Linked DNA regions of Diceros bicornis minor. Each later gene encodes a partner of the first gene's protein in a complex. Links are inferred from orthologs where the notes say so. Each region holds a gene or a part of one and is shown on either strand. Other genes may lie near its edges. The genes, in order: PRKAA1 and PRKAB1.

Region 1 (8,187 bases):
AGGGATACTACACATTTCTGGGGGGCCAAAACACCCCTGGGATTTTTATTTACCTGAGTTCTTCTCGGAAGGATGTGGCTAAAAAGAACTACTTTGATAAATCACTTGGGGTGGGATGAGACCTCCCCACCCACAAAATGCATGCTTAGATGGCCCGTTAACTACTGCCTAAGAAGTTAGGGTCTGGTAACCACAGAATCTTTGTTCCCTGGGACACGGCTCCAGCATCCTCTTTCTCTCCCTTTCCACTGAAATAAATGTTGAACCAAGAATATTGTTTTGAAGGGGACCATATTACTAGCCTGAATGGAGAACCAAATTATTAGCCTATTCAAGGCATGCACATGTTTATCAGCCCCTTGTATTATCAAATTGAGTAAAAATAAGTCTAACAGCAACCAGAAACAGGACAGTCCAATTACTTCTCCCTCTCTGATAGTCTCAAGTGATCCAAGGGTACAATTAGACTATCAGCCTATCCTTCAAGCAGCCATCCAAGGATATTATTTCCCTTAACTGCTAAGAATAGGGCAGCAAGGAGTTTGGAGCTACATTTTTTGGTGAATGAATATACTTTGTGCTGCTGATCATGGATAGATCCACGTGCCTGATACTCAAGTCATTTGAGAGGGGGGCAGGGTTGACATTTTCTTGTTAACAGTAAGGAACCTAACCAGGACCAACCAACCACAGCTACCAAGAGATGGGTCAAGGGAGTCTTTGTGAACAGTGCTAAGATTTTGTCTAGGAAACAGTTCTGGGCCTAATTCTACAAGAGTAATTGAAGCTTAAAATTCATAATCATGAGGGGGTTGCAAACATTTTAACATAAAAAGATTTCAAACCCAGAGTTAGGAATCATCTACCCTAGTTAAACAGTGGACAATTATCCACAAATTAATTTTAATCACTGTAACTTCCTTGGGAGTTTCGAATATAAACTGACTGCTTTTCTTTCTGTCTCTTCCAAAGGCTTATATTAGCTTCTGGATCTTCTTAATTATCCATTCTCTCTAAGTAAGTGTTCTGTCCTTGGATCCCTTAACTCTACAAACTGGGGAGATCTCATTCATACTCACTGCCCTACTTCATCTGCCATTTGTTTGGTAATGATACCCAATCTGTATGTCTAGACTGTCATTTCTTTGGAGTAATAGCCCTGTATTACCAGTATATTCATGGATCTCTATACCTGAATGTCTCTTAGATGCCTTAATGTTACAAATAGGATTCATTCGTTCTTTCTTTTTTTTTTTTTTTTTGCTGAGGAAGATTCACCCCAAGATAACATCTATTGCCAATCTTCCTCTTTTTGCTTGAGGAAGAGTCGCCCTGAGCTAACATCTGTGCCAATCTTCCTCCGTTTTGTATGTGAATCGCCACCATAGCACGGCCACTAACAAGTGGTGCAGGTCCATGCCTGGGATCTGAACCAGAGAACCGGGGCTGCTGAAGTAGAGCATGCTGAACTTAACCACTAGGTCACGGGGCCAGCCCCTCTAACAGTTAACTTTTTCAACTCAGTAATACATGTATAAGGTTCAAAACCAAGAAGTTACAAAAGGATACACAGGGAAAAAAGTCTGCCCCTTGCACCTGACTCTTAGTCAGCCAGTTTCCCTTCCCAAAGGTACCCATAGCTATCAATTTCTTTGGTAAAGAATGCATTTCTAAAATGCATCTACTTCACATCCTCCCGTGGCTCATCACTCTCTCTAAGATAATGTCCCTGAGAAGCACATATGAGGCCTTCCAGGATTTAGTCCTGTTTCTCTCTCGTTTCTTCTAACAAGTCCCTCTGTACATTCAGATTTCATCCCCTGTAACCACTTGCTCTTCCCTGAAAAGCCTATAGCTGTGATTCTGCATATGCTCCTTCCTCACCCAGGATGCTTTCCCCAAATTCCTCTATCCCTCATGCCACCCTTTTCTTTGAGTAGAAAACACCATCTCTTAACACTCCCTTAAATATATTCAAGTTCAAGCCTTTGCGGACCCCCACAGATAAAGGTTATGCCCTCCTCTCATGATGCCCTTTGAGGACCATATATATGTTTTTATTACAGCACCTATCACATTACTTTGCCACTCGAAGGAAGATACTGTGTTCTGTTGTTTTCTGAGTCCTCAGAGTCCAGCAAACTGCCTAATACCTACTTAGTTGTTTAATAAATATTGAATATTAGTTACAATGTAACTACAACTAAGCTAAGGATATATTAGGCTGCATTAATAGCACCATAGTACTTAGAGTTTTTAGTTCTGGCCACCATATTTAGAGATAGATATTGAGGAAGTATACTATCCACCTGACAGCATAGGGTCTACTAACACTATGACGGCCTTAACAAGAAAAGAGTAAGAGGCCCACAGCTCCCTTAGAATCTCTGAAGAGCTACAGAGGAAGCAGCTCACAACTAACTCCCGAGCTCCTCCAGGAGACCAGAGGTTCTCCACCACGATATTGGGTCATCCTGGTATGTCTTCATCAGCGCTGAGATATAATGTAACGTATTTGTACTAATAAAAGCCGAAGTACTGAAGTTTTAAAACAATTTACTTTTAGCCCCCCTCTTAAACTAGAGTGGATTCAAGGTTACTTCTGTGAAGTCACTCGTCCCCACTTAAATTCCAATATACTTTGCTGAGATAGGGGTAGAGTTACAAATGATGGGTCTGGAAACTGGGTGTAAGCCACAGGTTACCTTACCTTCACTTCTACCCTGGAACAATGTTGAGCATCTGAATATTATCTATCCTGGGGGATAGGATGGGGAACGGGCATACAGAGAACTGCTATCCTAGCCTATGAGCTCCTCCAGGGTAGGGCCCATGAGTTCTCATTTTGTATCTATCCACAGTGTCTGGCAGTTAATAAATGCTTGAAGAAAGAAAGGAGTGAAGGTTTGGGGATGGATCAATGGGAGAATGAAGGGAAGAGAGAGTGGAAGAAAATGTGACAAAAACTTTTAATAAGAGATGAAGGAAAGAAAAAGCAAAGGAATAAAGGAGGCTTACTATTTACTTTCTTAGACACTGTTAATTGAATTCAATTTTTAACTCAACTTAAGGAAAAAAATAAATAAAAGCTGCTTAAACAGAGACTATGGAAGACTGGATAAGATGACCTCTAAGTTCCCACTCAATTCTTTGGTCTATGATTCTAGGTTTTATTTCCACAACAATGCTTTTGAGTGAATAGTGGCATTTAATGAATATTTATTAAATCAAATTATCATCTAAAATAACACCAACACAGAAACAAACTGATGCTTCTGCTAAAAAAAGTTTATATTACTTTCTTAATTGGGTCTTCATAGTTTCACGAAGAGATTGGCAACGGGTTTGCAAAATTCAGCTTCAGTTTGCCCCCCTGTAAGATGCTCTGTGGCTTAACTGGCAGGGTATAGAGCTGAGGTACCTTGTGATTTTTTTCTTTTAGGTTAAAAGAAATAACAGAACCTTTCTAGGCTAAATTCTAGACATGATGCAAATTTAAAGTAATTTACGGTGCTATTTCTGAGGGGAAAAATTAGTTTTTTTTTCCCCTAAGAGAATCCAGAGAGCTATTTCTGAGCTGCAGAGACTCACAAGGCAAACAAGTAAAGGTCAAGAAACCAGGGAGCAAAAATTACAACATCAACCACTGCCCGCCTCCCAAACATCTCGGTAATCACAGATTTCTTAACTTTTTGGCCCTTCAAAATATGTGCAGTCCATAATGCGGCAGGAACTGATTATTCATCCAAGGCTAGCTGTGACTCTTCTCTGCTTATTTGATGTAAGTCTAAGCTCAAAGGCTTTTGCTTTCCCTGCAGTACCTCACTTGGAAAAAAGCAGTGCTTAATGCATGTTATTTTGATTTCATAAATAGAAAGTATGTAAAAATCAGGAGAGTTGGGGAGCTTTCATTGGGAAGAAAAAAGATAACATTTTTATTCTTTTTTTTAAATATTATTTTCATGAAGAGTCCAACTCTTTGTTCATTGACTCTGGCCCAAATGCTATGACACTGCAAAACTGAGATCATATAAACTGGTTTTTTTGGCCACTTGATTTTGCCCACGTTAGAGGAACATAACTGACTGACAAACTCACTTAAAAATTCTATTACAAATAAGCATACTTTCTCCGCTTCCACTGTGATATGACATGATCCCATTTCTACAGATAATAGCTAAATCTTACTCACTGCAAGTACAATAAATATTTGCCGATTGATTTCGTTGATGCAACTGTAAGCCTCGTTTTCAGTTCCAAGTCTACATTTTACCGATAATCTAAAAGTATTAATTCCTATACATCAAAATGTCTGGGCAACATCCCACTTTCTGAACACATACATTCACACACATCCCCAACCTGCTCCTTCCAACAGAGCTTGCTTTGGCTTGCTTCGGGGAGGAAACTTCAGGAGAGCATCTAGCAAGAGGACAGACCGACGACGCTACTTGAGCTGCGGAGGTGCCCAGTACAACTTCCTGGCTCAAAGTAAAAAAAGAGTGGCGGCGGCGGCGGCGGCGGCGGGTGAGGGGGAGGGGGCACTCCATCAAAGATCCAAGTGACAACTCTCGATGACTTCCAGATTCCATCCGAACGGGACGAATGAAAAGGTTAGAAAACAGTGGCAGGGCGTTGTCCCCTGCCATGTTTCAATTCCCGCTGCACTAGTAACAAGCCACACATCTGCCCTACCCGAGTGGGCTTCTCCAGTGCTCACTCGCCCCTCGGAATCACGGGGAGAGCGGTCTCCTCGACCCAGGAGTCAGAATCAAGGGAGACCCCTGCGGGCAGAGACTCCGCTAACAGGGAAGGAGCCCAGGGGCTGCCGCCCTTCGCCACCCAGGAAGACCCCTCCCGCGCGCAGGTGGGCGGGCGCCCGGGGCCGAAGGGATGCCCGGCGAGGAAGGGGGTGCCCGCGCCCCTCGCAGCGACCCCTCCCCGGCCCGCCAGGGGGAGCGTCTGCGCCCGGCGGCCCGCGGCCGGGCCCCGGCGGGCGGCGCAGGGCGGCGGCTCGGCGCCGCGGCTCCCGTCCCGCGTCCCCACCCCCCCCCTCCCCGGCCGCCCGCCCCCGGCGCGGCCCTGCCCGCCCCCTCCGCCCCCTCCCGCGGCGCCATGCGCAGACTCAGTTCCTGGAGAAAGATGGCGACAGCCGAGAAGCAGAAACACGACGGGCGGGTGAAGATCGGCCACTACATCCTGGGGGACACGCTGGGGGTCGGCACGTTCGGCAAAGTGAAGGGTGAGGACCCCCGGCGCGAGGCTGGGCCCCAGCCCGGGATCCGGGCGGCTTGCGCCCCTCGCACCTCTTCGTCCTCCCCGCCCGCTGCGTTCCTCGTCTCCCGGGCTCGGCGGTCCCTGTCCGGGCTCCGGCGGGAGCGGAGCCCCGGGCCGCCGCGGGACTGCGGCGCGGCCCTCCGGGGCTGGGAGGGGGTGGGGTGGGGCGGGTTGCCATGGCGACGGCGCCGCGGCCCGAGGGGCTCGTCGGTGCGAGGGGCGGGGACGCGGAGGTGCGAACTTTCCCAGGCGGGGCAGTCGGGGGCTGCGCGGCGCGCCCCGAGTGCGGGGTCGGGGCGCCGGGGAGGCGGCCCCGCGTTCGCCCGGCTCTGCTCCCTCGGCGCGGGGCCAGCCCGTCGCTTCCCTGGCCGTCCTCGGCATTGTCCGTGTTTCCGTCCTCTTGAGAGGCTGTCGGCTTCCCTGCCCCGGCTGATTCTCAAGTGTGAAATAATGTGTTCCCCCCAAACTAGACTGCTTTGGGAGTAGCTTACAGATTTTCTTTTTTTTTTTAAGGGCCATCTTGTCAGAAAGGATCACTAATTTTTTTCGAAGCAGGTCATGAATTTATACCGGTCCTCTATTTGCGATGCATCGTTTATGTTCTGAAAGCAGACTCCGTGCCTTCGGTGTTTCTGAATGATCTGTTTTGCGGTCTCTCTGTGCCAAACCTGGTAGTTAGTGCAGATGTTGCCTCCAGATAGTATTTAATAGTTCATTAATGCAGTCGTTTCCATTTATTTTCACAGGATATTTACATTTTAATAAACAATTTAGTGCACATCATGTGAACCTTTTTTCTTTTCAAAGAAAGGTGCAGAATCTCTTACCCTTGTGTTTCAACACAGTATTCTGGAAATAACAAACTTGCTCTCCAGTCCGCCAATTCTGGCACAGAAAGCTTAATTGCAAACTTTGTGAGGCATAAGTATTTTTTTCTTTAAAATATTTGACTTTGTTGTTAGGGATGTAGAGGAAGGAAGTATGGAACTGATCAAAATAATTCACGCCTTGGCTTTGGATAAGTAATAGACTATGACTTGCATACGCTAAGCTCTTGGTAAATATTTGACTTGAAAGAAAAAAAAGTTTGTGAAAGTCTGTACAGTGAATTAACTAACTGAGCCTTGCTCTCCCAGAGCTAAATAAACATTTTCTGATTTTATCTAGGGATGGAAGAGGAGAACCCTTCCTTCTCTTGCCCTTTCTGAGTCATAGAACTGGAAAATTGCTGTATAGTCCACAGGGAAGCAACTGCCTAAACCTTCTTATGAAAATCAGCAAGGCCAACAATGCAAGAAAGTAAGAAGCAAATGCCAGAATAGGGTACTAACAGCTATTAGGGTGGGTCTGTATCAGGCCAGTAAGATGTTTCTGTGCCATTGAAGTTATTTATTTTTGGCTATGCTGTCTCTTGTTAGTGGTTACAAACTGCTTTTCATTTACAAGTATTGTAAGAAATGCTCATTAATACCCCCCCAAATAGTGATGACAATCTTGATGCCCTCACCCTGCCCAGAGTTCTGTTTGGATGAGGGTGCTCATCTTTCTCCTAACATAGACTTGAGCAGAGTCAGGTCTCATTTTCTTATTTGTGAGGTGGTTTTCGGCATGGCATATAAGAAAGCAAGAGGAAATTTTTCGTTTTCTGGATTTGATCTGTGGTGTGGCTGTGACATGAATCCCTTTAGTGACTGCTGTTCCTTAACCTTCACTCCTCCACATGTGACTCGCTTGAAGTATCACTCACTGTCAAAGTCAACAACCTCTCCAAATATAGAAAGGCCAATATTAGTCAAAGGATCATAGGTTTCATAGATATGATTGCATTTGTTTATAAATATCTTAGTTGATGTAGGTCAAAATCCTCAGCTAGTGCATTTTTTTAAGTTGTTAAACGATTGGGATGCTTTTTGCCCCAAGTAATAGAAAGTCCAACTCAACCTATCAAGAACATCTCTTTCTGTGGTTCTCTCTCCAGAGCAAGGAATCCCCAGCGTACCTCTCATGGGTCTCATTGGCTCATCCAGTCCCTCTGGCCAGGGGATGCCAGTTGGCTTACGCTTGTTCCTAAGTAGGCACTCGCAAGGGAGATAGCATTAGCCTTGGAGGAATGTGGCCCACTCTTGGATGTGTGTGTGTGGGGTGCATCTTCTTCTTTTTTTTTTTTTTTTGTGAGGAAGATCAGCTCTGAGCTAACATCCAATGCCAATCCTCCTCTTTTTGCTGAGGAAGACTGGCCCTGGGCTGACATCTATGCCCATCTTTCTCCACTTTACGTGGGATGCTGCCTCAGCATGGCTTGACAAGCGGTGCATCAGTGCGAGTCTGGGATCCGAACCCGGGCCTCCAGCAACGGAGCGAGCGCACTTAACCACTACACCACGGGGCCTGCCCCCATTTTCTTCTGAAGTACTTGGATAGTGTAGGGAGACAGGGTCGATACCTACACAGAAATGAGTATTAATTGTTAGGCTAGAGAAAGGGGGACATACAGTCCCCCAAATGCTTGATGAGCAGGCAAAAATAGCTACTATAGTGGTGATGGTAACTTACACTAGCCTTAATTTGACAAGACTCCTTTGAATAATACGGTTAGCTGTATGTGTCAGTGGAGACAATTCGGAGTAGATAGAACTTTTAAAATTAGTTATACATGTTGGTAAATTTAACATAGAAAAGGAATATAATAGAAGATGTGATATTGGTAGGCAGAAAAATTCCCAATATAGTGCTCTGTGCTTAGAAGAAATTTAATTTTGGGGAGGAGGGAACTGTAAATTCATAGTGATTATTTTGTTTCCTGTTACAGGCTAAAAAATCCATTGGTAACTTAATTGTAATATTTTGAGGGGAAAGTTTACACAGGCAAGTAGGATTAGTTTAGGATTATGCTTGAATTATCTTTATTAT
Region 2 (7,109 bases), on another chromosome or scaffold:
GAGATTTGAACCCTAAGAATTATTAACCAAGATTATTTTTCCATTCAGCATCCATCTAATAAAAACATTCTTTTCTATTCATCCACAGAAATCATTTGGAAACAAGAATATCGATGGGTTAAGACAAATACATGCATACTCCCCAGGCAATTACCTTCTTGTGAGGGGAAGTTTACTCCAGTTGTTGAAGGACCCAGATAAGTAAACTTCCTTTCCGCCCCCCGTCCATCGAAATACAGTTGGCCGAGCCTGGGCAGAGGCTTTATCATTCACTTCCAGATCATGCTGCCAGGCCAGGAATTCCTCCTTCTCTGGAGCCTAGAAACAGAACAGTTTACTCAGGGACAGGAAGCCATTAATGAGATCCCAACCATAGACAGTTACCCTAATATTGACAATTCATTCTAAAGAGGCAGTTGTTAGGACCTTGGTTCATATTTGGGCTCGTTAAATTATCAGCTGTGACTCAGCCTCCCCACTTGCAAAATGGAGATAATAAAAATACCCATTTCTTAAGGTTGTTGTGAAGACAGAGATAGCCCATGTAAAATGCTCTGCATACTATGACACATCCTAAGTGCTTAATAATTATTAGCTATTACTATTGTTATTAAAAAAGTCTACATCACAATTCTAGGAGAAACTATAAAACTGACTGGGAAGAAGGCTGCAGTGAATCCAAGACTAGCTTAATAAACATCATTCTCCTCCCTTAATTAAGCAAGATTTGAAGGACGTGAAAATTTATTAGGGACAATTACAGAGATGTCAACCTGAAAACTAGCAAATCCAGATTCTGGGGAAAGGAAAAACTATTCACTGAGTGCCGTCCAGGCACTGGGGAGAACAAGATAAATAAGACAAAGACTGACCCTCATTATGGTAAACAATAAGTTCTAGTGTGGGAAGTGCTGTATAACCAAGGTATTCCAAAATAAGAGAGAAATCAACACGTCCAACTCTGTCTGGGTGAAATATATGTGGTTCTGGATCTTTTACATTTTTCCTAATCAGAAGCCAAAGACTTTAAAAGAACAGGAGTTCCAGGCTGGGACAGACCCTTAAAGATGTCAGACAGGCTTCTAGCACCTTCATTTCAAATATTGACCCAAGCTTATCTTAAAAGATGCTTGCATTCTTTGAGCTTTAACAAGATCTACAGATTAAAGAATAACCGATTTTCCAGAGTCACTTTGCACTGAGGACATGATAACTAACCATAGAATCTGTGGCAGTTTTTTTGGTATCGGGGGCATTCAATCCAGTGTGTCTGCTACATCATTTCAGTAACTTATGAGGATATGGAAATGGACACTATTTACAATCATGCTCCACAGATCATCTGTACGCTCAACATTTCTTACACGAGTTTTGGAACAGCAACAGAACAACAAACGCTTCTTGAAGAAAGTAGTTTGATTCTTATGGTGTCTGTCTTAGACAGCTGTCCTTGGCCAAAAGTATTTCTGGGGGAAGGGATGCCAAGTCACAGAAGTATCTGGACTCCCAAGTTCACTTTGCACACAGCTTTTCAGAAATACAACAAATTCAGAAAGCAAGTTCAAATCACAGGATGTAGGGCCAAGTAAAAGCAGGCTCTATAGTCTCAAAGCCAAGATCCAAGTGAGGATATAATAACAACATGATCACCCAGCCCAAGATGAGAAAAAATGTGAGTCAAGTTGGAATGAGTTGCCAGGCAATTAGCCTAATGGATAATGATGATTAATATGCAACTGGATACTACAGAGATTATGACTTAATATTTTAAATAGGCCAAAGCAAACATTTTCGCAGGCCAAAGTTGGGCAGGGGGGCACCTTCATCATTCCTAAACCTAGTTTGTTCCTTGTCCTTTAAGGAATTAGTTCTTTGTTGTTTAGGCTCTACCACATACATAACAGCTGCCAGAATCACTGAGTGTCCTTGGACCAGGCCCTGCAGCTGGCAACAGACCACATCAGGTGGTGAGCAGGAGTCAATAATTGTCTTCAGAGCTCCTGATGAATAAAGTGGACGGCAGCAGGAAGTCCACATCTGGCCTGCAAAAATGTTTGCTTTGGCTTATTTAAAATATTAAGTCAAATTTAAACAACAGGGAAAGGTGAGTAGCACCTAGCCGCCTCCTTCAGAATGACACTTCACTCACCCCCTGACCTCCAGAAGCTGAATCATTTTTGTACGCCCACTCTAAAGGAGCAGGGTGAGTGAGCCCCAAGTTTCAGGCAGAACTAAACACCTTTGGCAACTGCCGTCAGCTGCTCCACTCTGCTTCCAGCTTACACGTGTGCCCTGGTGTGTCTCCAAAATTGACAAGAAACTGCAAAAGCAACTACTACAAAAAGCGCCAGCCTGCCTGAAGGCGAGGGAAGATTTCTCCAAGCTATGAAATTAATTACACCTAAGAGAAAAGCAGAGGCTGGGGCTCAATTACTGCTAACTCGACGATCTTAATTAATTAAGAATTCGAAACTCTGTCCCAGAGCTGCTTTCTCCTTAATAATGTTAAACAAAGTGAGTTCCTCCTCCTCCCTCAGGGTGACTTTCTCGCATCGGTAATTAGATACCGGTTCTTGGACTGCTAAGAGGGATCTTACGGAGTTTTAAGTGCACGGAGTCAAGTATCACCTCCCTCCCCCTTCTGATGATGAATTTTAGACGGGATGTGGCGGGGAATCTAGGAGCGGGTTCCTCCCCTCAGCCTAGGTCAAGGGGAATCGACTCCCCACCCCTTCTCACCTTGATCTCCTCGGGATGGAAGAGGTCGGCGTCCTCGGGGCTGTCCATGAGGATCTTGGGCCTGTCCCCGTCCTTGGCGCCCCCCGAGCTGTCCCTTCGCGGCGTCTTATGGCCGCCCTGCCGCTCCAGCGCGGCGCGCTCGCTGCTCGTGTTGCCCATGGCGGGGGTCCGCGGGGACTCCGGGAAGGGACAGGGGACTCCCGGAGCCAGGGGGTCACAAGGACCCTAGGGAAAGAGTCGGAGGACCGGCCTGCACACCCCACGAGCTAGCGTTCGGAGCCGGGCTGGAGCCGGGTCAGCAGGGCTGGCGAGGTCTCCCAGCCGCGCTTTATCTGCTCCAGCAGCCCCGGCGCGAGCTCTAGGAGCTCGAAGATAACCCCACACTTCCCCAACAACACCCCCACCTCTCAGAACTTCCGCTTCCAGCGCTTCCGGAGGTCGGCCGGGCCCGCCAAGCGCGGGCGGCTGCGGCCAGCGAAGCGCGCGAGGCCACCTCGAGCTCACTTCCGCTTCCGGCTCGGGTTGGCGCAGTCGCAAGCGCAGTGAGGCGGCCTCCGCTGGCCTCGGAGCGCGCAGTCGCAGTCGGCCGCTCCGGCCTGCCCAGGACGAGGCCGCTGAAGGCCGGCAGGGGGCGCACCAGCGCGTCGGGCCTCTGGGCCGGTCTTCCCGCGCAGAGATGAGTGATGCTATTAGATGTCTTAGATATGATATCTTTGCCGACTTCCAGTTGATTCTACACTCTACAGCCAAAGAGGTCGTTCTAAAGGGCAAATCTAATTAAGAGACTCCTCTTCTGAAAGCCCTTTAATTTGCTAACTCTCACGCCTTTGAGTGCCTTAGAATCACCTGGGGTGCCTGTTTAAAATGCAGATTCTCCTGGTCCTAATCCCCGGAAATTATGATTCGGAAGCTCTGGAGTGGGGTCTGCATTTTAATAAGCACTCCAGATGATTCTGATGCAGGTAGTCTTGTAGGTATTTGAGAAAATGACAGACCATAAGATCTCTGGAAATTTCTCAGGTCTGGTAGCTTGGGGGTTGTTAACCGTTGGAGTTAGTAGCATATTCTTCAAAAATTGAGTACACAGCCTTTTGATAGGTAATTTTACAAGATACTTTGTAGTCACTTTAGACACATCATTCTGCATAAAATGCATTTATTTATTAAAAATGCGCCTTCATTTTGGCGCACAATTTTACTTCCAGGAAACTTGTACAGAAATATACATGTGAAAATTACATGCAAGCATATTCATTTGCAGCATTGTCTCTAATGCCATAATACGTTAATTCTAAGACGCACATTTTATTTTACGTTTTACTGTCTCTGAAGCTAGGTGCTTCTTACAATCAATAGAATCTTAGATTTGATGAAATAAGGAACTGAAAAACTGCAAAATCCTAAAAAGCTTGTCAGTAGGAGAATGGCTAAATGAATTAAATAGATTCATTTTATAGAATACTGAGCAACTTTTAAAAAGGAGGAAATAGAATTATGTGGGTAACTATGGAGAGGTGTCTGTGACATTCCAAATCCCAAAAGCAAATGGCAGAACAACAGGGGTTGAGATCATGAGCTCTAAAGTCAGCCTGCAGGAGTTCAAGTTCTGGCTTGACCACTTAGTAACTGTCCCCTTGTTCTCCTCTTTTGTGAAATGGGGAATAAAAACAACGCCTATCTTATAGGCTTGCTTTGTGATTTAATTGAGAACATGCATGAAAAGTGCTTAGCATAGCACGTGACTCTTAGTAAACATTCAGTAAACGTTAGCACTTTTATTGGCATCATTAGTCTTGCAAATGGAAAGTTCTGGAAAGAGCTACAACACGCTGCTAATAGTGGTCCCCTCTGGGGAGAGGAGCGGTATTGGAAACAGGAGCAGATAGAAAGGGAACTTTGACTTTTTAATTTATTGTTTGAAAATTTTTCTATTGTAAGGATGTACTACTTTTGTAATTTTTTTTTTTTTTGTGAAGAAGATCAGCCCTGAGCTAACATCCATGCCAATCCTCCTCTTTTTGCTGAGGAAGACTGGCCTTGGGCTAACATCTGTGCCCATCTTCCTCCACTTTATATGGGACACCGCCACAGCATGGCCTGACAAGCGGTGCGTTGGTGTGTGCCCGGGATCCGAACCCGGGCCGCCAGCAGTGGAGCCCACGCACTTCACTGATACACCACCGGGTGGGCCCTACTTTTGTAATTTAAAAACAATTTTTAAAAGACAAAAATAAACAACACATGGTTCCAGCCCCAGAGGAATTCACAAAGTAGAGGTGGAAGCAGACTCACAAAAAGGCAATAATACATGCAGGCAAGGGGTTCTACGGGAGCCCAGAAGGGACTTCAGCCAGGCTAGCAGATAACCCAGAATACATTCTTTGAGCTGTTTTTCTTGCTTGCAATAGGCAGCGAGGAAGCCATGGACACGAAGATGTTGAGCTTTGAGTTTTCTCCCAAACAACTTGAGAGAGAAGGAAGAACACATGAGTTGTGGACCCCTAATCGGAGCTATGCAGATGCTCTCGCTCATGAAGAAATTTTCAAGACTTCTACTCTGGCTCAGATAAGTGATATCCTGAGGATGCTTTCAATGGTGTTCAGACAATGAGACAGCCCAGTTACTGGGATTGTACAGATGTGACCTGCCCAGGGGTGTCTGCTGGAGGAGGCAAGTAGGTCCTGAGATTCCACCTGCCCGGAGGAACAGGTGCCTTTTTCTAATTTGTACAAATATGCCATACAGACTAGCAGTGGCCCTGGCCTCTCTCCAACAGAAACATCTGAAGCTGAGAAGCAGAGTTAGCTGTGTAAGATCTTTTCTTATGTAGGGCGTGTGCCACACGACACAATAGGGACACACAATTATATTCTGGGAAACCACACTAAAATTTCAGAAAGGACCATTTTAGCTTTCATTGAGCTCACTTTTTTAGTTTTGAATTTGTGTCTCTTTGTTATTGCATCATGTGAAAGCAGATGGATGGATTTACACCAAATTTGGAGGATATGTTTGGGACAGTCTGACTTATGATGCTACATTGTGTTCTCAAAACTGACTTGGGGGCACATTTGGGGAGATCTCAAAGAGATTGAGTATAACAAGGGGTCTGTGTATCTGCTGATGGGGGAGTCTTGCCATGTTGTATTAAGACTTCATGGACAGAGAAACTAACATTGGTATCAGCTATTGGCCCCATATTGAAAATCTGAAGTAGGGTAGACTCTGCAATTACAAGTGTCCACTTGGATCCCAGCTGTGTCTCTCACGGGTCACTTGTGTTACTTATCCTTATTTAACAATGGTTCACCATTCTCCCAAGCATCAGAAATGCCTCTTCTTTCCCTGATTCTTTGCTGGTGTGGGTGTCAGACCACTCTGTTCCAGGGGCCGGAAGGTGGGTGGAAGGGAGGGCAGGGATGTTCCAGGAGGTAGAAAAGTTAGGGCATCACTGTGTCAGAGGCATCCTCTGCTCTCCGGGCTCAGTCTGGAGTCAAGGCAGAGACAGATGATAAGATATCACAAATTCTCCCCAAACCAGGGCAATTGCCAGGAGCCCAGCCTAACCCTGCCTTCAAAACCCTAAGTCCAGAGAGAAACAGATTTCCAAGTCCTTAAAAGTCTCCTCTAGAGCCAGATAAAATCTGATTTATCCTTTACCTGTGACTAAAAGGGCTAAGGATAATGTTTTGAGTCTTCCTCCTGAGGACGGATTGGAATCAGCATGGTACTTATGGACCCACCAACCTGTTGGTTTTATATAAGGGGGCGTCTGAGGCTCAGAGGCCAAACCATTTGCACAGACCACTCGGATGATCACAGGCTGGGCTGAGACTGGACACGGGATCGCCTGGCTCACGGTCTGGCGACTTCCCACCAACCACATCATGGTCCTTCCACATGATGCCGCTTTTCAGGTTGAATTAGAATCCCGTCATGACTCTCATCCAGGGCTGCTGGGAGTGTAATTCAGTCTGACCATCATGAAGGAAAGTTTGACACTTTCTAGGAAAATTTAAAAGGTCCTCACCCTTTGACCCAAACATTTTCCTTCCAGGGGTTTATCCTACAGATATACTCATGCACATGCAAAATGATGAATGGATAAAGTAATCCATTGCAATATCTGCAAGAGGAAACTGTTGGACACAGCCTACGTGTCCACCAGCAGAGGGCTGGTCAAATAAATCACGGCATATTCATGCAATGGCAGCCTTAAGAAATGAGGAAACTCTGTGTGCTGACACGGAAGAATCTTCAAGATATATCACTAAGAAGGACAAAAAGTAAGGTGCAGACCAGGGCCTCAAAGTATGCTAACATTTAGGGGGATGGAGAAAAAAAGAATACCTACGTATTTGCTCGTAGA

Evidence for each region.
Region 2: the proteins of PRKAA1 (region 1) and PRKAB1 are in contact, whole or in part, in a crystal structure (PDB 6C9H), measured with the Homo sapiens proteins. The link is inferred for Diceros bicornis minor from reciprocal best matches to the Homo sapiens genes PRKAA1 and PRKAB1. Residues at the interface, in NP_006242.5 of Homo sapiens: Gly20, Val22, Lys23, Ile24, Thr32, Lys40, Lys42, Asn59, Arg60, Ile63, Arg64, Val69, Ile72, Arg73, Ile76, Gln77, Val93, Ser95, Thr96, Pro97, Ser98, Asp99, Ile100, Phe101, Met145, Met175, Ser176, Asp177, Gly178, Glu179; in NP_006244.2 of Homo sapiens: Pro79, Val81, Arg83, Leu103, Pro104, Thr106, Val113, Ile115, Asp159, Phe160, Glu161, Val162, Phe163, Ala165, Leu166, Met167, Val168, Asp169, Ser170, Gln171, Arg201, Ala202, Pro203, Pro204, Ile205, Leu206, Pro207, Pro208, His209, Leu210.

The regions. Positions count from the first base shown.
Region 1 is NC_080759.1:29,093,007-29,101,193, forward strand, and holds the start of PRKAA1 (5'-AMP-activated protein kinase catalytic subunit alpha-1), read left to right. Parts: upstream 1-5,064; 5' UTR 5,065-5,115; coding exon 5,116-5,242; intron 5,243-6,444; exon of another isoform or gene 6,445-6,566; coding exon of another isoform or gene 6,567-6,576; intron 6,577-8,187. UniProt on the Homo sapiens protein: Catalytic subunit of AMP-activated protein kinase (AMPK), an energy sensor protein kinase that plays a key role in regulating cellular energy metabolism.
Region 2 is NC_080774.1:16,327,405-16,334,513, reverse strand, and holds the start of PRKAB1 (5'-AMP-activated protein kinase subunit beta-1), read right to left. Parts: upstream 3,097-7,109; 5' UTR 2,899-3,096; coding exon 2,740-2,898; intron 319-2,739; coding exon 155-318; intron 1-154. UniProt on the Homo sapiens protein: Non-catalytic subunit of AMP-activated protein kinase (AMPK), an energy sensor protein kinase that plays a key role in regulating cellular energy metabolism.